4 linked regions of the Arabidopsis thaliana genome follow. The protein of the gene in region 4 interacts with the protein of the main gene of each other region in a pairwise test. Each region holds a gene or a part of one and is shown on either strand. Other genes may lie near its edges. The genes, in order: NRT1.1, PUP14, ERS2 and CPK1.

Region 1 (6,661 bases), on a different chromosome or scaffold from region 4:
AAATTCCCTATAAACAATTCGATAGTAATTCATCGAAATTATAGCTAATAATTGGTATTTATCTGATTGAAAAATAATTGAAAAAAAAAACTGGATTGTTGATCAGTTTAGACTTTAGACTGATGATTCTTTATCCAATTAGCTACATAGTTGAAAGATATAAAAGTATATATCCAAAAAATAAAAGTAACAAGTGTAAACAAATAAAAGTAATATTCATCATTTGTCATATTTAATTTGTATTCATCATGATTATATATGTTTTGGACTTAATCATGCAGCTCCTTGATAATTCAAATTAATCACTTGACCAGTAGTCATCGAGAGACAATTGAGCCAGTAAATTCACAGAGCTCGGTCATAATTCAATTATAGTTTTAAAGACAACTTTTTTTGTTTACCAATATTACAAAAGAAAGGTGTGATAGTCCACTAGGCACTAGCTAGTGGCCTAGACGCCTAGTTCTGGTCCAAATTATTCACATATTCGAAAACAAACGATACCAAAACAAGTGAGAAAACAAACGTTGAATGGTATGATAATTTACTGGGAAAAAATGAAAAATGGAAATTGAAGACAAAAAGACGTTAATTGCGTCAAATCTTAAGAAATGTTACAATTTCTGCTTTTATACAGAACCTGATGGGAAAACTTTAACTTTTATCCCTTATCGGTCGGTCCATTATTTGTCGACTCGGAAACAAGAGGTAATTAAGAAAAGCATCATAAAATATACAAACAAAACTCAAAATCAAATTCAAACATATCAACATAGACATGCATAATGTTCATCATCATGATCATGATCATGAATTCATGATCAATGACCCATTGGAATACTCGGCTCATCATCCAACTCAATCCCCACCTCAGCTAGTCTTTTTTCCTTGTAAACGTACCACTTGGAGAAAACTAGGAAAATGAGGAAGTTCAAGGCAACAAGTACGGCCACAAGCCAGTAGAAATTGTAAAGACGGCCCTTGTTGAGATCATCGGCAATCCATGGATGAGCTTTCCCGGTGAATTTCTCGACGATTGTCACGAGAACCGAGCTGAAGAAAAAGCCTAATGCCAATGTGCTCAACAATAGACCCGTGCTCATCCCTTTCATACCTTTAGGGCACTCTCTCAAGAAGAAATCTAACTGTCCTGTGTAGATTAACGCTTCGCCGATACCGACAATAAGATATTGTGGGATGAGTAGATAAAACCCTAGAGGAAGCGTTTTGACTGTTGGACCATGAGCGTGTGCAGTTCTAAGACGTTTGAGCTCGACCAAAGCAGCCACAGCCATAGCCATTGATCCGAAGAAAAGCCCCAAACCGATCCGTTGAAGCGGTCTTAGACCATGGGGGTAGTTGAATAGCTTTTTGCATAGACGAATGGCGACGCGGTCATAGACGGCGGTGGTTAGGAGGAGGCCACCGACGTAGAAGACTGCCATCGATGCTGGAGGGATCTCGAAGCTCCCGATGGAACGGTCCAATGTCTCGGATTGTGCGACTGATAATGTCGTTAATTGAGCGTGGACGGTCCAGAAGAGGATGCATGTTGCCCAAATTGGTAACATTCGCACGATTTGTTTCACTTCCTCAACATCTGTTAGTGTTGAGAGTGTCCACTTGTTGAATACATTCGAGGTAACTCCCGCTTCCTGATCCCTTATTGCTGCCTTATCTAATGAACTGTGGCATCAAAAATGATATAAGGAATAATTAGAATATAATAGTAAATTATGTAAAATGGAGATAAAATATTTTACATATATTGGATTAAAGATAAGTATCTGATTTTTCAAACCAAAGATCTTTTGTGTGTTTCTTAGAAAATTATGAAGTGTCCCTATTTATTGAAATTTCATATCAATAATACATTGTTTCTTTTTTTGGAATATAGCTTACGCATTGAATATTTGAATCAACATGTTGTGGAGATAGTTACGTGGAATCTTTTCAAGATGATATATCCTTCACACACATGCATGACAAATACGTAATTGCTTTTAAAATAGTGTAGGCAAAAAAAAGTTAAGAGTTTGAATTTATGGAAAAGTGTAAAAGGTTTTTTCTTTAGTTTTCAACTACCTTTTAGAGAGACCCAAACGAAAGAGAAATTTAATGAAGCACCGAGCACGCAAAGCACGTGTCGTGCATGTGACGCTAGGGTTCTTAATTATGCCTAACTTTGGGTCTGTCCCGGTGAAGGTGTAAAGTAGTGGAGGTGCTACGACACGATATTTGATCGTTTTCACTACAGACAAAACACCTGCCTCCCTACCCTAACTTCTCGTCTCTTCTTCTTTATTAGTTTTATTTCCGAGAAAGGGATTCCAATATCTAGAGATGCTAAATAGATTTTCCATAAATTATCTGGTATAAAGAAAAATTGATTCCTTTGGATTCTTTTATTTCTATGTAGGTATGCATAGGGATTGATGGATAAAAGATACTGTACTTAAGTTAGCAAAAATAAAAGATACCGTACTTAAAGGGGGAAAACTCACGAGTCAGGGGAATATAAATATAGATATATGTGTGTCAGTGTATGTGTATTTAAAGTTATAAGGCATTAGAATCATAATCATAATTATAATACTATAATAAAGATAAAATAGCAAATTGGTGTATTTAATTTTCCGCAATGATGAAGATACTCTTTCTGTAAAAACCAAATATTCTACGAGTGGGTGTGAAATTTTTTATAGGCAAAAAGTAAAGATGGAGAATTTTACCCCACTTGATATCACTTGCATATACTTATTCATTTGTTTATCTGAATTACTTTATCTTTCCGACTAATTCCGAGAGACTACTTTTATTTTCCTACCTATTCTATGAACCGAACTTAACGTGTTATCTAACAAAGATATACACATGCACACACACATAGGATTTTAAGGAAAAAATATACAATATAAAATGCCAAAGTAGGGACTTTGAACCCAAAAATCCAAAAATGTTGTAATTAGCTGTATAATTCGTATCCTGGACCAGTTTCGCTGTATGGTCGAGTAATAATATTATGAAAATAATTTATTTTCCCCGTAACAAAAGACAAAGAAAGATATTCAACACCTTTTAATTAATTTATAATGGCTGTCAAAAAAAAATGATTTCTAATGCCAAGTAGGCATATAATGAGAAATATTTACGGTCCCACTATAATTAAAGGACACGAGCATTTCGAGTTATTTCTCACCCACACAACCCCACTTTTAATTTCACATTTTTAAAGTCTACTGATACTATCACATTTAATTAAGGGAACCAGTACCTCAATTATTTCAATTAACCCTTAAATGGAAAAGAAAAAGAAAAATTTTAAAACTTTTATCTTAAAATTTAAATCATTGTAAGTTTTGAGGATCGTACGTGGAAAGCAAATGATGAGTTAATTAAAAGAATCGTACCGGAATTGTTCAGTGTGTGGCAGCTTTTGTTTACCCTTCATCGAACCTTCCGCCGCAATAATATCATCCACATCGTAGAGATAGGACGGATCTGCCGGCAGCTCGAGCTTCCTATTCCTCCACGCCGCCACGATAACCGCAGCAACCTGCGTCATCGGGCTACCGATCAACTTCTTGAAACGGTAGCGGTTTGTTCCGGCCAAGAAAACGCTGAGTGCAAGCACGATCGCAAACGCGCAAATTCCATAGCCCCATTTGCGTCCAACATCGTCTTGTACGTAGACAAGGACCGTCACAGCTAAAAGAGAGCCAACGTTGATACAAAAGAAGAAACGGTTGAAGAAATATGTCATTTTCGATCGTTCTTTTGGTTCGGTCTCATCGAATTGGTCCGACCCGAAACCCGAGACACTAGCCTTCACGCCTCCCGTTCCTAGAGCGGTGAGGTATAAGGCTAAGTATAGGACCGTCAGTTGTATTCCACTTGCTTGTTCGCAGTGAGACGACGTTGTTGGATTGCATCTTGGTGGTCGAAGTCCCGGTATGATTGTTGATAGAGTTAAGATTGAAACACCCTGATAGCATCATAGTTCATAACACGGATATTATTTTTCGGAAAACTATAACAAAAATAACGACTTATGCTGTTTACTATTTCGATTTGTTTATTGACTAGACAATATTTTTATTTTCTTCGTTTTCTTGGGTATAAGTTTTGGTAAGGAGAAAGGGACTTTTGAGGTCCTTACCGTGGCTTGGATTGCGGCGAATATAGCAATCGTTAGGTACCTATACAAAACAAAATGAATGAACTCAAATTAATATTTTAAAAAGAATCTGAATGATTTTAGTTAAGTAAATATAAATATATTTATAGACAAACCTGCCGAGAAAGGTATCGGCGATGAAGCCACCGAGGAGACAGAGCATGAAAGAAGTTCCGAGGAAATTGGTAACGGTGTTAGCCGCAGTTGCATTGCCTAAATGCATAGTTCCCGTCAAATACGTCACCAGATTAACTCCGATACCTAACGTCGTCAGCCTCTCCACGGCCTCAATACCTTCACACAATAAAATTTTGTTAATGATAAAGTTGGATACATCGAGAATACATAAAAGAATAAGAATGATAGCCATAAGAAACTTATAACTTAGTAAATGCCATTAAAAAGTTTCAATTCTTGTCTTCAGCATGTATATTGTTGGTAGCTTTTCTCTAGAACTTTTATTATGTGATTATACTTACAAAGAATCATGGCGGCGCTGGCCCAGCCGCCGGTTTTTGAGCGATCGGCGGGACGGCCTTGGAAGTCCCAAGCATCAAGAAGGATATCATCAGATTTAGTTTCAGGAAGAGACATCTTGAAGATGGATTAATGATCTCTCTCTTTTTTTTGCAGTTTTTGGGGGTGTTTGTTCTTATGTAAAAGGCTGTTTTGTTTGAGAGCTCTTGGTTTCTTTTGTGGTCTTAAATGTGTTCGTTGATACATCTATTTATACTGGGAAACTAGCCAAGTTAAAAAAGTTTTTATTGTTTTATTTTGATTTTTTATTCATAAAACTAAAATATTGAAGAAAAAAGTGACACATGTGTGACTCTGATGAGTGTTGTTTGATTGGGGAGAGAATAATTAATAATAATAACTACTACTGTAACTGTAGTATATATTTGTAGAAAGAGAAAATTGAGAGAGAGAGAAAGAGACCATACCTAAATTTTACCACTTCCTCTACCTTTGGAACTGTGGGCTTGAACTTTTAAGTTGAAGTCATCGGTCATTTTGTCAGTGATTCAATGGCATTAGCCATTAAAAGCACCAGTTTTAGCCACCACCTGTTTTACATTTGTTCTATTTCTTGGAAAATTATTTTACTTCCATGAAAGATAATACAGTATGTTTTTTACGTCTGTACTATATATGGAAAATAATTCAAAATAATTGATTTCTGTGTTACAAACGCATTTTCATCAATATTGTTCATTTGAGATTTTGTAGTATTGTCGAGGCATATCTATTTCGTTTTTTGAGTTTGCCCAAAAGAAAAAAAAAATCTATTTCGTTTTTTGTTTGCTCAATATCAACTTTACTTCTAGGCCCATTCAGTTGTTCTGCAGCACAGCCATATCACAAAAATTTATTGATAATCGACTCATATTAATTTGAGAGTCATGTTTTCTTTCACATGTAATTATCAAATTATAATTTTATTGCATATAGTTTGAGGAAACTATTAAATTATATGAAATTTCAATCAAAACATCTTTATAGAAGTCAATAAAAGTCCTTTTAGGTATTTGCTTTTTGTTTGTCAACAATCTAGGTCTTTGTTACAAAATTGAAACCAAAGATTTGTAGATGTTGGTATGATTACGTACCAATTTTTTCTTCTTTTGTGTTAATGGGAAAGTCTACCTTGAGATTTAATGGCTCAAAATGAATGCTTCTTAGACGCCACTAAAATGAATCATGCTGCAATATGATTATTACCCTACTTTCCATTTATTTAACGTATAGTGAAATAAAATAAATAAAGAGCATGGTCACAGGACTTTCATGAACTATATATATAATTGGAAGTCTCGCAACTTCAATGGTTCTCTTTCTCTCTGGAGAAAACATATATAGGAGTATAAAGAAGAAGAACAAAGGTCATTTTCATTTTATAGAGCCAACAGAAAAATAAAAATAATTTATTCCAACAATTTGTAAGAGATGGTTAGTTAGTTTTATTAATAAGTCTCAAAGTCTATGTAAAATATCCAATATAAAAAACGAGTCAATTTTCAAGAAAAGCAAGAAATTGTATGTTACAGAAGTAAAACATACATTTGAATCAGTTTTTTATTTATTTATTAAGTAATTGATGAATTTCTATCCTCAATTAGTTAATTTTCGAAATTTATAAAATTTATTGTATACTATGTGTCATGATCCATCTCTTTCCGAGTTATTGATATGCAGATCGATGAAATTTTGAACCCATCAATAAACACTTTCTTCGTTGCTAGTTTCATATTGCTAAATTTACTATAATATCCCCAACAATCGATTATTTTGTACACATCCAAAGATTGTGGAAGAGCGAGAACAAAAAAGTCACAATGAAGAGTCCCATCCAAAAAGAAAAAGAGAACGAGTGGTGAACCCAAATATATTATCTTCTATTGAAATTAAATTAATAAACACATCCTCCGAAAAGGAATAAGAAAATAAATTAATGGAAACTTATAAAAATAAACCCTAACTTCA
Region 2 (3,581 bases), on a different chromosome or scaffold from region 4:
ACTTACCTTCTTCCACACGAACAGTGAAGGCTCTAACTGAAGTAGAGGCTTTCGCTTTAGAAGCGGAAGAGCTCAAGTTTGTGGCTAGTCAGTTCAGGCGTCTTCACAGTCGTCAGGTTCAACAAACTTTCAGGTTTTACTCTCAACAATGGAGGACTTGGGCTGCTTGTTTCATCCAAGCCGCTTGGCGTAGACATTTAAGAAGGAAAATCGCAGAGCTTAGACGTAAAGAAGAAGAAGAAGAAGAAATGGATTATGAAGATGATGAATATTATGATGATAATATGGGTGGTATGGTTACAAGGAGTGATAGTTCTGTTGGATCAAGTTCTACATTACGTTCCACGGTATTTGCATCAAGATTTGCTGCTAACGCGCTTAAGGGTCATAAACTAAGGGTCACCGAGAGTTCAAAGAGTTTAATGAATTTAACAAAGCCATCAGAACCTGACTTTGAGGCTCTTGATACAGATGACTTGAACTAAGTACTTATAGATTGCACACTTCCAAACATTTTCATTGTAAAACATACAAATTTACATCTATAACCAAAGCTGTTACACACTTACACTTACACAAGATAAACACCTAGAATATATGATTAGATATACACACAAAAAATCAAGGGAAATAAAAAAACTTTCTTTAGAGATTCAAGAATCCAAACCTAATAAGCCATACGATTGTCTTTGTGAAGCCTAAAGAAATAAGCTGCAGCGCTTAAGACGGCAGTAACCAAGGCAACACCTTTGAAGGCATCAAACTCATCATCCATGAAATTGAAGAAGATCACCACAAGAACCGACACAATCGGCCACGTAATGACACTGATCACATTCGACAACACGCTCGAAACAGAGTAGACAAGTCCAACAATCCCAACCCAATAGACCTGCCACGAAACAGCTTGACCAACCATAGCCATCACATAAGAACCTTTCCCTTTCGAGAATCCATTCATTTCCCTCTTCAAATCGTGTTGCTCACCGGCTATAAGCAGACCCACGACGGAGATGATCGTAGCAACGAGAGAAGAGAAGATAATAACTTCGAAAACAGAGGCAAAGCTTGGTTTTTGATTGGTTGATTCAGTTCGTTTGAAGATGTAACTGTCGAAGACGTTTTGGATGTTACAGAGAAGAAGAGCGAAACAGATTCCAGCGAACAGAGCAGCCCATGAGCCTCTAGCGTAATTCTCCTCTGCTTCATCAGGCTCACCACCGAATGAAGAAGACAGAGTAAGAGCTCCGGTGATGATAGCTAAGATCACAGAGATAACAACCCATCGATTGAATTTGATTTTGTTAATGAAAGCTGCGAAGATAGGAGTGAAGAAGAGCTGTGCTGTGTAGATCAGAGTGAAAACACCAAATGGGATCTCGAGTTTTCCCATGGCTGCGAGTCTTCCTTGAACGGACATGATAATTCCGATGCAAATGTAGATCACAGCTAAGGATTTTAAGTGGATTGAATCGGAAGTGATCGGAGGTTGTTGATGGTGGTTGCGTTTGTTCTTGGTGATGAAGATGAGGAACGGGAGAAGAAGGAGAGGGAAACCAACAGTTTGGAGAAGAGATTGAGTCCAAACGCCATCGTTTTGACGGTTTTCGTTGTATTCGCTTCGGTTGGTTTTGTCGTAGTAGAAGTTTTCGAGGAGTTTCGCTATGGATTGACCGATGATGACGAAGATGATTGAGATGGTGATGGTTGGCCAGTGGTTTGGTTTCCGGATTGTGTTTCCGGTTTGGTTCATGCGTGTGGTTGAAGAATCACGCTCGATGTTGATAGGTATTTGCACAAATTGTTCTGCAAAAAGAAACAGAGGAAATTAGAATCAAATTGTTTTGTAAGAAGAGGAGATCAAGAAACGAGAGATCTGGTTTGTTGATTCTTATTATTACCTGGAGGTTTGGTCTGGAAAATAGGTTGTTGATTCTGAGCCATGGATTGGAACTGATTGTCGGAGATTCTGAGCGGATTTGAGTTCAATGTATGTCGGCGATTAGATTTGGTAATATGTGATATTTGGAGTGGATGATGTTGTGGGATAAAGGAAAGAGAAGGGTTTATTATATATGGGCACGAAAAGTCTACCCTGGCGGCGTAATGGTCAATCAAGCGAGCCTCATGTCTACGCGTCGTCGTTTTCAACTTGTTCCGGGTTGTTTCGTCATCCAAAAAAGTGTGTAAACAACACTTAGAAGTAACTTATTCTTGTCTTTACAAAATCCAAGCAATAATCGACAAAAGATGATGAGAAATATTTGAGGTTTTGAATCTTGATTGTTTTCTATCAACGAATATTCCGAATTGGATTTATGGTTCGAAGGTTATATAAGGAAATGGTATAGTTAAGTTTAAGTTATATTGACTTTGTTTGTTTTGGGGGTTTGACCTTTGGGATTATCCAACATCCTACGTTTCGGAAATTTTGAACTAACACGATGCCCACTTGGCAGCTCACTACTTGTAATATGATACTCTCTTAAATGCGTGTCTTCTTATGACTTCATCTTAGAATATCATACTTCATGTAAGGATTTTGGTATATGACATTTTATAATGCTCAAGATATAATCCCAAAGGTGCAAGATTAGAATGAACTTGAACTTCGAATCAAATTGTTTGCAATAACTAAACAAATTTTGAACTCAGATTCAATGTTGTTCAACGTAACATTGATCATTTTTCAACCAAATGAGCTTCGAAAGTTTGGATTTTACAAAATAAGAGATTAAGGGTAACAAACAAAGGCAATTTCCTTGGTGCTCATTTGACACATTTTACTTAAGAATCATACAAAATCTCTATGTACACAATTGCCTCGTTTGACTATATAAACGTCCTCACACTGTTTCCACGACGCTATACCCATTATGACCCATAGGCATACATGCTCTCAAATATACACTGGACCCGTAATTAAAATAACATTTTAATACTTAACAAATTAGCATGTCTTGACCAAGAGACTGAAGCAGCCAAAGTTGTCCAGAGCAATAGCTCAAGTAGGCATAACCTATTACTGTGTTAATAGATTCACAAAGGCAAAACAACTATTACTAAACCTTCATGGATTACTCATCTATATAAGTTCTAGACATGTGTTTTGAATTCCCCGGTTCATCATCGGTACAATAGTTTCAGAACTAAAACGCTATGGGGCATTGAATTTGAAACTGTGATCACGCAAACTTCTTAAATAGAACACCCATTAGAACACCCATATGACCCATAGGCATAAAAGCTATCAACTACACTGGACCCATAATTAAAGAACACAGCATATCACCAAATCAACTTGAGGCAGCCTAGCCACAGTTGTCCAGCTTAAGTAGGCATAATCTGTCATGTGTTAATTGAATTCACACAGACAAAGCAACTATTACTAACCTTCATGGATTATACATTTCGGCATATCATCATCTATACCAGTTTTAGACTTTTGTTATAGTTTCAGTACTAAAACGCTATGGGGCAATGAAACTCTGATCAACAAAATTTCTTTAGATAGCATTTCCACAGGCTTTTCAATGAACATGCCACAACTCGAGAAGTGAGGATTTGGTATTAAAAGCCTT
Region 3 (5,547 bases), on a different chromosome or scaffold from region 4:
AAGACTCAAGAGAATCTCGTATATTCTAAGGAAGACGTACCTAAACAGAAAGTTGGTCCCAAAAAACGAGAGAAGGAATGAAAGATCAAGGATACATGTTTTATATACATGAAAAATACTAAATTTTAAAAGAAGTATTAAACGTTTTTATAATGTCACCGGAAAGAAGATGTAAATGTATTGATCAAATCATCTGACTATAAAAGTAATTCAAATCACCATTTTTTTAAATCAATTTGAATATTTGATGAATTTCCGTATATAAACAATCAGTCCCGCTCTTGCTGTATAAATGAAACGTCTATCAAACATTAGCTAGTCTTGTACTGGATTGCCTTTACAGACAAAAGATTATACTGTATATGTATGTGGTCTCATGCAAAAAAAGTAAAAATGATTCTGTGTACATCTGTTTTGATTTGCATATATATTGGCTTAAGTGGCAAAGGTGCATGCACTATTTCTATTTCTTTGATAAAAGTTTTATGATGCATGCATTCTTACCAGTGATTTCTTTAAAAGGAGAAGACATTTGTTTTGTAATAGTGACGAGAATGTAGACAGAAAAGGAAAGGAATCAGCACGTGTTCATCGCTCGACACGTGGCCAATAATAGCATTGGATTCAGAAAAAAAGAAAAAGAAAAAAGCGAAAAAACCTGTATAACAGGAAAAAAATACAATCTGCACCAGCCGGGAATCGAACCCGGGTCTGTACCGTGGCAGGGTACTATTCTACCACTAGACCACTGGTTATTTATTTAAAAGATTTATATTGGTATAAAACCTTGACCATAAAATGTTCCTAGTGCATCCACTAAGATCAAATTCATATTAATAAACAAAAACATAAAATTCAAACCGATATAGCAAGATTGCTGTTAGTTTTGTCTTCTAAATCTGATAAGTGTTCGTTATTGTCGAGGTTATGTAGCTAGTTTATATATTACTTGTACTAAATTTCAATAGGGCAATCAAAATATACGGATTTTCATGTGTATATATTTTTCTAAATTTGCGGTTTACAAAGAAAAGTTAGTGGTTGATCATATTGATTTCTTGAAAGGGAAATATTACCAATAAAATGATAAAATTGCCAAGAAAAATTAGTAGTACGATCGATAATTTAGTGATATTGGGATCCAAAGAGATGATCATGCACTTAGTTAAGACTCCATTTTCTGATAAGAGTTAAGTGGCGGTAGACCCACAAAGAAATTTGATTCGGTATTGTTATTATTGAGTAGAAAAACAAAGATGGAGTGTTTAACTAAATCATGTCTAATAAGTAGCAAGGTAGGTCAATATAACGTTTTACAAACGAAAAATAGCATTGCATATTTAATTATCTACCAAATATCTTAAGTCAGTCGAATAAACTAACTCATTATGTTATCAAATCAGCCGCAAATTGTGCCGTTTAAGTCAATACTATTTTTAACTTAGATATTTAGTGAGTAGACTTCATACTTGCATAGTCTAGTAGTTATCATTGTTTAATGCAATTTTTTGGTTTTAATGTAAACTTATACTACTATTTGGTCATGTAATCTCACTTTCTAAAAAACCAATGTAATCATCCATAATAGAAATAAAACATTTATTTAATATAATTAACTAATTTTTAAACATTAAAAAGAATAGATTTATTTTTATACATAAAATAATAGAAATATAAATATATATATATATTATTATAGGTTGTTTATTGTAATCCAAAAGCAGAATAAAATTTGGGATAGGTATTAAGAGTCATAAATCTTGAAAATAGAGTCATTAATTAATAAAGCTGAAAAGGAAAGATTAAAAAAAGAAGAAGAATCCTCTAAAATTGAATTTGGTAAGAGTCCACGTAGGTCAAGAAGAAGAAGAAGAAGATGTCGTGCTCGTGTTGTGTTCCAAACGAAAAGCGTCTATGTTCTCTTCATGTACCGTTTCTGGGTCCCACCCCCCTTTCCTTCTTCACTCTCCCCCCAATTCCTCCCTCTCTCTCTCTCTCTCTCTCTCTCTCTCACCAAAACGTAAATCTACTCTCTCTATCGCAGCAGACACAGAAAAAGAGAGAGCGAGAGACTCTGCTCACACACATATTTACTTCCCTAACTTGTCTCTCTCTCTACACATTCTGGTGAGTTTCGTAAGATTCAACAATCGTTTAGACTTCTTCTTCTTCTTCTTCTACAGCTTTTACGTTTTCTGGAAAAGAGATTTTTGGCTGATCACTACGTTGCAGGTATATGATTTCTCAAATGTGAGATGGGTTTGATGTTCCTTTTCGCTATTTCTCATCTGATTTTGAATTTTCTGCGGATTTTGTGAGGAATCGGTAGATTTTGATGTTTGTTCTTGTGGGTGGTTCATAACTTCATACATTTAGGGGATTAAAAGAAAATTAATTTACAAATTCGGTCCTTGTTGTGAAAAAGATTTATAATCTAAAAGACATTAACTTTACTCTCTCCTTGAACAAGTTTTGAATTTTGAATCTTTTTCTGATTTTGATTTTCACTATGTTCATAGGTAATTGCACAATTCTGGGTATACAAAATCCAAACGTTACGCATATTGAATTGAAAAATCTCGATTTTGAGTTCTGGGTATGAATAAAAATCTCACCTTTTTAATTAATTCTTACTCAGGGAAACAGTAATCGATGTTAAAGACATTGTTAGTCCAATGGCTTGTCTTCTTCTTCTTCTTCTTAATCGGTTCCGTCGTCACCGCCGCAGAAGACGACGGTAGCTTGTCGTTATGCAACTGCGACGACGAAGACAGTCTCTTTAGCTACGAGACAATCCTCAACTCGCAAAAAGTCGGCGACTTTCTTATCGCAATCGCTTATTTCTCGATCCCAATCGAGCTGGTTTACTTCGTGAGCCGCACCAATGTGCCTTCACCTTACAATTGGGTGGTCTGCGAGTTTATAGCCTTCATTGTTCTCTGCGGCATGACCCATTTGCTCGCTGGTTTCACCTACGGGCCTCACTGGCCTTGGGTCATGACAGCTGTCACTGTCTTCAAGATGCTGACTGGTATCGTCTCTTTCCTCACGGCACTCTCGTTAGTCACTCTCTTACCATTGCTTCTTAAGGCTAAGGTTCGTGAGTTTATGTTGAGTAAGAAGACCAGAGAGCTTGATCGTGAGGTTGGGATCATTATGAAGCAGACTGAGACGAGTTTGCATGTTCGTATGCTCACTACCAAGATTAGGACGTCTCTTGATCGACACACCATTCTATACACTACGCTTGTGGAGTTGTCCAAGACTCTGGGGCTCAAGAACTGTGCGGTTTGGATCCCGAATGAGATCAAGACGGAGATGAATCTTACTCATGAGTTAAGACCGAGGATTGATGATGAGAATGAGAATGAGCATTTTGGTGGTTATGCTGGGTTCTCGATACCGATTAGTGAGTCTGATGTTGTGAGGATTAAGAGAAGCGAAGAGGTGAATATGTTGAGCCCTGGTTCTGTGCTTGCCTCAGTGACTAGCCGAGGGAAGTCAGGTCCTACGGTTGGGATAAGAGTCCCTATGCTTCGGGTTTGTAACTTTAAAGGCGGGACACCAGAGGCGATTCACATGTGTTATGCGATATTGGTGTGTGTGCTTCCATTGAGACAGCCGCAGGCTTGGACTTATCAAGAGCTTGAGATTGTTAAGGTGGTGGCTGATCAAGTGGCGGTTGCAATCTCTCACGCCGTGATTCTTGAAGAATCTCAGCTTATGAGAGAGAAACTCGCTGAACAGAACCGAGCGCTTCAGGTTGCGAGGGAGAACGCACTGAGAGCTAATCAAGCCAAGGCTGCGTTCGAGCAGATGATGAGCGATGCAATGAGGTGTCCTGTGCGGTCCATTCTCGGGTTGCTTCCTTTGATACTTCAGGATGGGAAGTTACCCGAGAACCAGACTGTTATCGTTGATGCAATGAGGAGAACCAGCGAGTTACTTGTACAGCTTGTAAACAATGCCGGAGATATAAACAATGGGACAATCCGCGCTGCAGAGACTCATTATTTCAGTTTGCATTCGGTTGTGAAAGAGTCAGCTTGCGTGGCGAGGTGTTTATGCATGGCAAATGGTTTTGGTTTCTCAGCTGAAGTTTATAGAGCATTGCCTGACTACGTCGTAGGTGATGATAGAAAGGTCTTTCAAGCGATTTTGCATATGCTTGGGGTTCTAATGAATCGAAAGATCAAAGGGAATGTGACTTTCTGGGTTTTTCCGGAAAGCGGGAACTCAGACGTATCAGAGAGGAAAGATATTCAAGAAGCGGTTTGGCGACATTGCTATTCGAAAGAATACATGGAAGTTAGATTCGGATTCGAGGTAACTGCTGAAGGTGAAGAGAGTAGTAGTAGTAGTAGTGGTAGTAACCTGGAGGAGGAGGAAGAGAATCCGAGTCTCAACGCTTGCCAAAACATTGTAAAGGTTGGTCATTTGTGTTTTGTATGTAAATGTGCTAATGACTTGGTTTAACACTTTTATCTTGTTTTGTGACAGTATATGCAAGGGAATATTCGGGTTGTTGAGGACGGTCTAGGTTTGGTGAAAAGCGTCTCAGTTGTTTTCCGGTTTCAACTCCGGCGATCGATGATGTCGAGAGGCGGTGGATATTCTGGAGAAACGTTTAGAACCTCAACTCCTCCGTCTACTAGCCACTGATCATTGACGTCAGGAAGGGGGGGAGGGGAATGTAGTGCAAAAGAAAGATTTAAGGGGTGGAATCTGAGAATTTGTAAAAACAGTAGGGGCTTTAATGAGATTAACAGAGAGAGTACTAAAACGTTGTCGTTCGGTTGTAAAAACCTGAAAGTTAACTAGGTTTTAACCTATCGTGTAGGCAAAAGGTATGATGCAGACTTGTTGTAACTTGCTGGTGATAACAGAATTCAAAGTAAAAAAATGTGTCGGAGGATGTTCCTTACGGATTTGTGATTTACAAGCCTACCAACTCCTTTGTCAAATATTGTGACGTTTTAGATGAAGCTTATAAATTTATTGATTTCTGATCCAGAAACCGTATACAACTTGTATCCACAATATGTATCCAGGTACATATTAACTTCGACCTTTTAATTAACTTTTGTTTTTAAAAGGTTTATGTGATTTTTTTTTTTTAACATTGAGGTGATTCGTGCGACCTCTCTTTCTCTCTATTTATCTCTCTTTCTTTTCCTCCGTCGTCTTTTTTGGTTTGTTCTCTCTCTGTAGAATCTCATAGGAGCTGCCATTAGCCCATTCAACGAATTAGCTTCTCTTTGCTCTTTCTTCCACCATCTCAGGTTCGCTTCGATCTACAACCAATAAGCTTCTTCTATATCTCCTCCTTTGTTCTTCGGATTTTGCGAGGCTTTATGTTCCGATTACAGTCTTTCATTTTGATACCACACCGATTTTGATTTTCCCCGATCGTTGATTTCATCTGGGCTTTGTTTTGTTTTCCGATGTCTTTGATGAAATTATGAGGTTTCTCTGGATATTTTAGCTGATTGAAATGATATATTGCTTCGCCGCCCTCTAATTTTTCGGCTGATTTTTTTTTGTTTG
Region 4 (6,433 bases):
TTAACAATTAGACCCCTACACAAATAAAACTTTATGATACAGTAATCATGATCACGTTTTGTGGACTGAAATTAGGAAATTTAAAAGGGATAGGGACGCAGTTTTGAAATAGACAATTTAATCAGTTTATTTAAATAAAACCAATTTAATAATTTTATAAATTAAAAAGTCGTACCCCAAAATAAACATTTTTAAATGTCAACAACAAACGCAAGCTTTAAATTATTTATTTTTGGAGAAATAACTTGATTGTGAGACCCACTTTTATATTTTTCCTCCATTTTTTTTGTTGTTCTAAAGAGTAAGTTAGGTATTTATGTTGACCAAAAACACTAGCTAAAAGATCATTTTATTCGTTTTTTCCAATCATAAAAAAGAAATTAATTATGTAAATGGAAAATAAAGATCTCAAAATACTACGTGTTTAGGATTAGGAGGTTTGGTGGCTATTATTTTCGGTGACCAATTTAATTATCTGCTTATAATTTAATTTGATTTCAGCTTAGATTCGGTAAGGACTTGAATTATATAATTCGGACAACAAATTAATTGAAATTCGGTTAAGTTATTTTATTTCTCAAAAAAAGAAAACTGGGAAATTACATAGAAGTACCTCAACTTTTAAACGATTTTCACATAAATACTCAAACTTTTTGCTTTACAAGAAAAAGCCCTCACAAAAATTTGATGATCGTTATCGCAAAATTTCCAAATCGTGTTCAAGTTTTTTGACTCTTTGAATTTACTTACAGACAAGAAATCGTGGTTTGTAATGTTAGAAGACTATATATGCTCAAGAAGTAACACAATACAACAAAGTTTCCAAAACAAGTCTAAGACAAAACCTCATCCAAAAGATTGAGAGAATCCAAAAGAGGGCAAGAGAGAATCTTGGCTGTGTGCATATGTCTTCAACATAATCAAAATGGTATATATTATCAGAAAACTCTTTTGTCTTCTTGGCTTTAGTTTTGTACTTTTAAATAGACTGAGAAACTAGAGTTTAAGAGCAATGCTAAAGCTTTTCTCTAGACCCATTTTCACAGGTCCTCCTGTGATGCTTCCTTTCTGCATCATCGCCACAAACTCGTTGTAGTCTATTCGCCCGTCCTACAATACAACAATTCAAATGTTCAACATTATCAACATTCAACCAATATATCAATCCAAAACCGACATGAAAACTCGGTTTACTTCACTGTTTCTCAGGAAAGAGAGTTTCTACTATCCCCCTAGGTTTAACAAGAATCATACTCAATCGTCTCAGTTTTCCCAAGAAAACAGACATGAAAACTCGGTAAGTGAAGTGTAGTTTTAATAATGCAAGGATTTAAGAGGATCATATAAGTGAGATTCCTATGAGTAAAATGTATATAATCCATTGAAATTTGATCATTGTTGAGAAGTATTCAAGTCATTTTATAATTAGGATGAGATGATAAAAGGTGTAAAGGAACTTACATTGTCTTGATCAACATCGCGCATCAGTTCTTCTATGCGGACATCCTCAACACCAAACTCCTCACAAGCTTGTTGAAGCTCGTCTGGGGTGATATAGCCGCTCCCATCTTTGTCAAAGTATGTAAAGGCTGCAAACAAATGGTCCTCTCTCTCTATTTTGTTTAGATGTAATGTTGCAGCTATGAACTCTTTGTAATCTATTGTTCCGCTGTTGTCCACATCAGCCTGAATTATATACACATGAGAGAGAAACCAGATTACTTGCATATCTAGCAAAAACAGAAGTATATAACCACAACCAACAGAGTAAGTTTGAATGATAACAAGATCAGTTCAGAATCTTAGTTAGGGAACTGGTATGCCGGTTAAAACTTACAGCTTGCATCAAGTCGAGAATTTCAGACTCTTTGAGATTCGCCCCTACTCGTTTTAGTCCTGCTTTCAGTTCTTCGAAAGTTATCTGACCACTCTTGTCCGCATCTATCATATTAAACATTTCTTTCAAGCCGGCGATTTCTTCTTCAGATAAGCTCTCAGCAATGACCTGCAAAAAGGCATAAAGAGAGAAACTTAATCTCCGTCGTCTCTTTCTTTCCACATAACAAGAGGAAGATGGGTTAAATGTAGCTATCTTATGTTTATGACAGGAACTTCTTTTATATGGTTTTAAATTTTGTTTAGCATCGGAAAGCTGCTTACTCTAAGAGCCATTTTCTTGAACTTGTTCATTGCAGAAAACTGCTTCATACGGCTCAGAACAGCAGAATCCAAAGGCTTGTCTGGAGCCACACCGTCGACTTGAACCCATGGATGACCTGAGAAGAAGCACAACTCCATAAGAGATAGAACGATGGTAGATCACTCTACATGACAACACACTTTATTCATGTAGTGAAATCTATGCTCAATGGAATTAACAGAAAGAGAATCACAGCGCTTTAACTGGAAGAGAAGGTTTCAGATCAAAATAACTTACATAATACTTGGTGGGCAGTTAACCTTTTCTTGGGATCCCTGACAAGCATTTTCCTCACTAAATCCTTTGCACTTTCAGATATACTTGGCCATGGATCGGACGAAAAGTCAAGATCACCGTGGAGGACCTGTTCGAAAATACCTTGTTCGGTTTCTGAATGTTCAAAGAAACAAAAAGATTAGAGATGTTGTTCAGAGCCTAGTTAGGAAAAGTGACAAATCTCTTATCTGTATATATACAATTCTTACCAGCCCAGAATGGAGGAACTCCGCTTAATAAAATGTACACAATCACTCCAGCACTCCAGACATCAGCTTCAGGGCCATAACGCTTTCGAAGAACTTCTGGGGCAACATAATATGGGCTACCAACAACATCTGTAAAAACATCGTCTGCAAAGAGGAAGGGAATCGAGTTCAGAAATAATTGTTCGACAAGGATCACACTATTCACGTTAAAGACCAAATCTGGAAGTGGATCTTTTAAGATGAGTAACAATGAAATCAAACCTGGTTTAAAGAACATGGAGAGTCCAAAATCAATCGTCTTCAAGAGGGAATCTTCGTGTTTACTGACAAACAGAAAATTCTCGGGCTTGAGGTCTCGATGCATAACACCAAGAGAATGGCAAGCCTCTACAACCCCAACAATGGTTCTAGTGAGCTCAGCCGCTTTCCTCTCTGTGTAGTGACCGCGTTGAATGATCCTGTCAAAAAGCTCGCCGCCTGCACAACACTCCATTACAAGGTGCACTGCCACAACATCCTCATAAGCTCCTTTGATGGAGATGACATTAGGGTGACCAGCCAAGTGATGCATTATCTGAATTTCTCTTCTCACATCCTCAACGTCCTCATCAGTCAATAGCTTCCTCTTAGCAATCGACTTGCAGGCAAACTCCTTCCCCGTAGTCTTCTCGACACATAAAAAAGTCGTCCCAAATTGCCCTTGTCCGAGTTTCCTTCCCAAGGAATAGAATTCCTTGAAGTTTTCAGTCTTCCTCTGCAACACTGACTCAGTCCTAAGCCCTGCACTTGACACTCTCTTCATGTGTTTAGGCTTCTTAGGTTTAGCTGGAGGATCAGGTTTTGACTCCGGCTTGGTCTCTGACTTGGTCTCCTGCTTAGTCTCTGGTTTGGACTCAAGGCTTATCTCCTCTAGCGTTTCAGGCTTGCTTTCAGTTCGAATCTCTCTGTCCTTGGTCTCGACGTCAGTCCCTGGCTTCGGCATTGTGACCTGTTCAGGAGGTTTATTCTGGACTTCATCAGATAATCGAGATCGAAGCTCTCCCGAAACAGCTTCACTTGCAATATCTCCATTACTCATGGAAGCCGAATCATCTCCATCTCTTGGCCGCCACATTGCAGCTGAAACAGATTGCAAGAAGCCATTTCTGCTTGGTCCAACACAAGTATTACCCATTCCCTAACTTGTCTTAAATCTCTTTCACCAGAAATAGCATCAAGATCTGATTACAATAACCTCAAAAACAATCTAATCTCATTACTAATCTGATAAAAGTCAAATCCTTTCGATCTTAAAACCATCAGACATCAAACCTCGGACTTCTCAGACGATTGAATTTCTACACAGCTGAACTGATAAACCCAACTTGGATGAGGAGAAACAGCAGAGAGCTTGCTTATACAGAGGTGAGAAATAGCAAGAAAAATCAAAAGGGTATCGGAAAAATCATGACTTGAAACAAACCCAGAAAATAGAAAGTCACAATGAAGGAAACCAAACAGAGAGTAGAAAGCATCCCCAGATAACAACAACAAAGAAAGAAACAGAGAGATCTGAAGAAGAGTAAAGAGAAAGAATGAGAAAATAAATTGAGTTGGGTGGGAAAATAAAAGGGATAGTTTAATAGCACTACACTTGCATAAACCGTAGGGACATTTGTTAATTTAATGAGAGAGTCAAGGTCTGTATAGAGAAGAAGACGATGAAGAAAGACGAAGAAGAAGATTGAACCAGTTTGAAAAACGCGTTTCTTTTGTTTTGATTATCTATCACCGCCGAGTTTTCCGCTGAGATTTGTCTTAACTCTCTTTTTAATTAATCTTTGATTACAAAGTCCACCACCCTCTTCAATCTTGGCAACGCAGCTTCTTATGTAAGGGTACTTAATTAGTAATATATTAAAACTTTGAGGTAAAAAGGTGATTTTCCATAAAATCAATTTCCTTTCTGGAGTCCTAATAACATCCTTTTTATAATGGTCCCATCATTTACTACTTTTGAAAAATATAACCCGCAAGTGAAAAATGCGCAAACAAAACCCACATATTAAAGAGCAGTCATTAAAAATAAGACATCCACATGTTAAAGCTTGAACAAATCACATGCTCTACACATTCTTGTCTTCGCCCTTATGTTTTACCCTAATTACTCCTTCCGACCACAGCTATTATTGAAGATCAAAACCTAGACCAGAACTAATATTGTAGAGACGGCGAGTTTGGTGTTCTAAACATCATGATCACCACTTTCCATTGTTTTTGCTGGTCCTAACGGAACACTCAAGCACCCTTCCTTTTTCCAGTAGATAAGCCAATGAGATGTCCCTACTGCAATAGAACGGTATGAATCTCTGGACACTCTGTTATTGATTTGATATGGAAAGAATGCTTGCCTAAAACAAAAACGAAGCTCACTATTGTTATCAAGAGATGGTGGTTTGAATCAGTATTTAAGAAGATATGATTTGTGGCAAAGACGCTCACTATGATGTGTATGAGACTTGGTTTGATGTAGTGCAGTATGTTCTGATAGTAGATTATCAATCATCACAACAGCGTTTTTTGGTGACAAAAGTCTGTTCATTGCCTCTGCCACGTCCTGATCAAGTAAACATCCAAGGACCTCCAAAAACAGATGATCCTTATTACAGAGATTCTCAATCTTTTCCGTACTTGTTCCTTGATTGATCCTTTTCACTATGACGAAATTAAATTGACAACTGTTTCCATATCTTGCTATGAGGAACAAAATTTCCTAGTCATGACTATAAAATGAAAAGTAACCTATTCGGCATTCTGTTTATGACACTAATAGAGAACAAGTGTGGGAAAGGGAAATGACGGTATTCAAGTGTGTGTCTTCCATTGACCGGAAAATAAGGTAAGAAAACCCTCACCTTTCTTATCATGTGTTGCGCTTGGAAATGGAAGAATCTCTTTATGCTTCTTTTCGCCACCTCTAAATCCTCCAACTGCATGAACACAATTCTATATCAGATATATGAGTGTGCACCATCAACTAAGTAACAGTCCAAAACCATCTAACTGACTAATGCGCGAAGACACCTACATTGGCTCAATCTTTGGCTGACCAGGTTTTCTGTTCCTAGCATCAAATACTATATTCTCGAGAAAATCCATATTGCTAACACCAGGGATCTCAACTGGAGTTTGGAGACTCAAGAAGAGAACCGCAAGAGATCCTTACATATCATGCAGATGCTCGGCTTTAAACACAATGATTTATGAGAGGGGTACGAGTAGAGATACTCTAGGAATCATATGTTTCAACAACATGAAGATTGAGAAACTTACCTTGAAAAAATGTGTTCATAAGCAAAAAACTTACGAGCCTCAACCTTTCATAATATTAGTTAGGAAATATCAGCAATGATGCAAATGATTCACACAATTGGAATTAGTTAAGCTTGTCAGAAATTTTAGCTAATGCTCTCTTAGTACAGAAATAATATCCAATAGAATCACGGCTAACAAACTTCACAACGTCTATATGTACTAGTGTTTCATTAACATGAAAAATCTCTCCTTTCTTCCACAATTCAACAATCACAAGCACTTAAATCCCTAACCTCAATCAAACGGCTCCTATTCCCGTCATCATGATCCGAGGATGGAGACAAAGTCGACAGAAGAAGAATCGGAGAGGAAAAAGGAGAGCTTTTTACGGCGGTGGATACACAGAGCAGCGACTCAGAAACCTCGCGAAGGCTTATGAGGAAGATACAGTAGA

The links.
Region 1: the proteins of CPK1 (region 4) and NRT1.1 interact in a protein complementation assay, tested with the Arabidopsis thaliana proteins (one large-scale study listed by BioGRID).
Region 2: the proteins of CPK1 (region 4) and PUP14 interact in a protein complementation assay, tested with the Arabidopsis thaliana proteins (one large-scale study listed by BioGRID).
Region 3: the proteins of CPK1 (region 4) and ERS2 interact in a protein complementation assay, tested with the Arabidopsis thaliana proteins (one large-scale study listed by BioGRID).

Annotation. Positions count from the first base shown.
Region 1 is NC_003070.9:4,103,451-4,110,111, reverse strand, and holds NRT1.1 (nitrate transporter 1.1), read right to left. Parts: upstream 4,890-6,661; 5' UTR 4,772-4,889; coding exon 4,657-4,771; intron 4,472-4,656; coding exon 4,294-4,471; intron 4,200-4,293; coding exon 4,160-4,199; intron 3,986-4,159; coding exon 3,411-3,985; intron 1,687-3,410; coding exon 822-1,686; 3' UTR 511-821; downstream 1-510. UniProt on the Arabidopsis thaliana protein: Dual affinity nitrate transporter. Involved in proton-dependent nitrate uptake and in the regulation of the nitrate transporter NRT2.1.
Region 2 is NC_003070.9:6,830,789-6,834,369, reverse strand, and holds PUP14 (purine permease 14), read right to left. Parts: upstream 2,046-3,581; 5' UTR 1,945-2,045; coding exon 1,902-1,944; intron 1,807-1,901; coding exon 668-1,806; 3' UTR 533-667; downstream 1-532. Other genes in the region: CNGC8 (cyclic nucleotide gated channel 8), read left to right, coding at 1-485. UniProt on the Arabidopsis thaliana protein: Purine permease implicated in ATP-dependent cytokinin translocation that controls the spatiotemporal landscape of cytokinin signaling. Depletes ligands from the apoplast, which leads to a suppression of the cytokinin response.
Region 3 is NC_003070.9:1,154,231-1,159,777, reverse strand, and holds ERS2 (ethylene response sensor 2), read left to right. Parts: upstream 1-1,964; 5' UTR 1,965-2,232; intron 2,233-2,638; 5' UTR 2,639-2,652; coding exon 2,653-4,428; intron 4,429-4,500; coding exon 4,501-4,662; 3' UTR 4,663-5,014; downstream 5,015-5,547. UniProt on the Arabidopsis thaliana protein: Ethylene receptor related to bacterial two-component regulators. Acts as a redundant negative regulator of ethylene signaling.
Region 4 is NC_003076.8:1,416,019-1,422,451, forward strand, and holds CPK1 (calcium dependent protein kinase 1), read right to left. Parts: upstream 4,537-6,433; 5' UTR 3,860-4,536; coding exon 2,947-3,859; intron 2,830-2,946; coding exon 2,686-2,829; intron 2,591-2,685; coding exon 2,438-2,590; intron 2,277-2,437; coding exon 2,161-2,276; intron 2,006-2,160; coding exon 1,838-2,005; intron 1,687-1,837; coding exon 1,462-1,686; intron 1,111-1,461; coding exon 997-1,110; 3' UTR 546-996; downstream 1-545. UniProt on the Arabidopsis thaliana protein: May play a role in signal transduction pathways that involve calcium as a second messenger. Phosphorylates the Ca(2+)-ATPase ACA2 resulting in the inhibition of its calcium activation.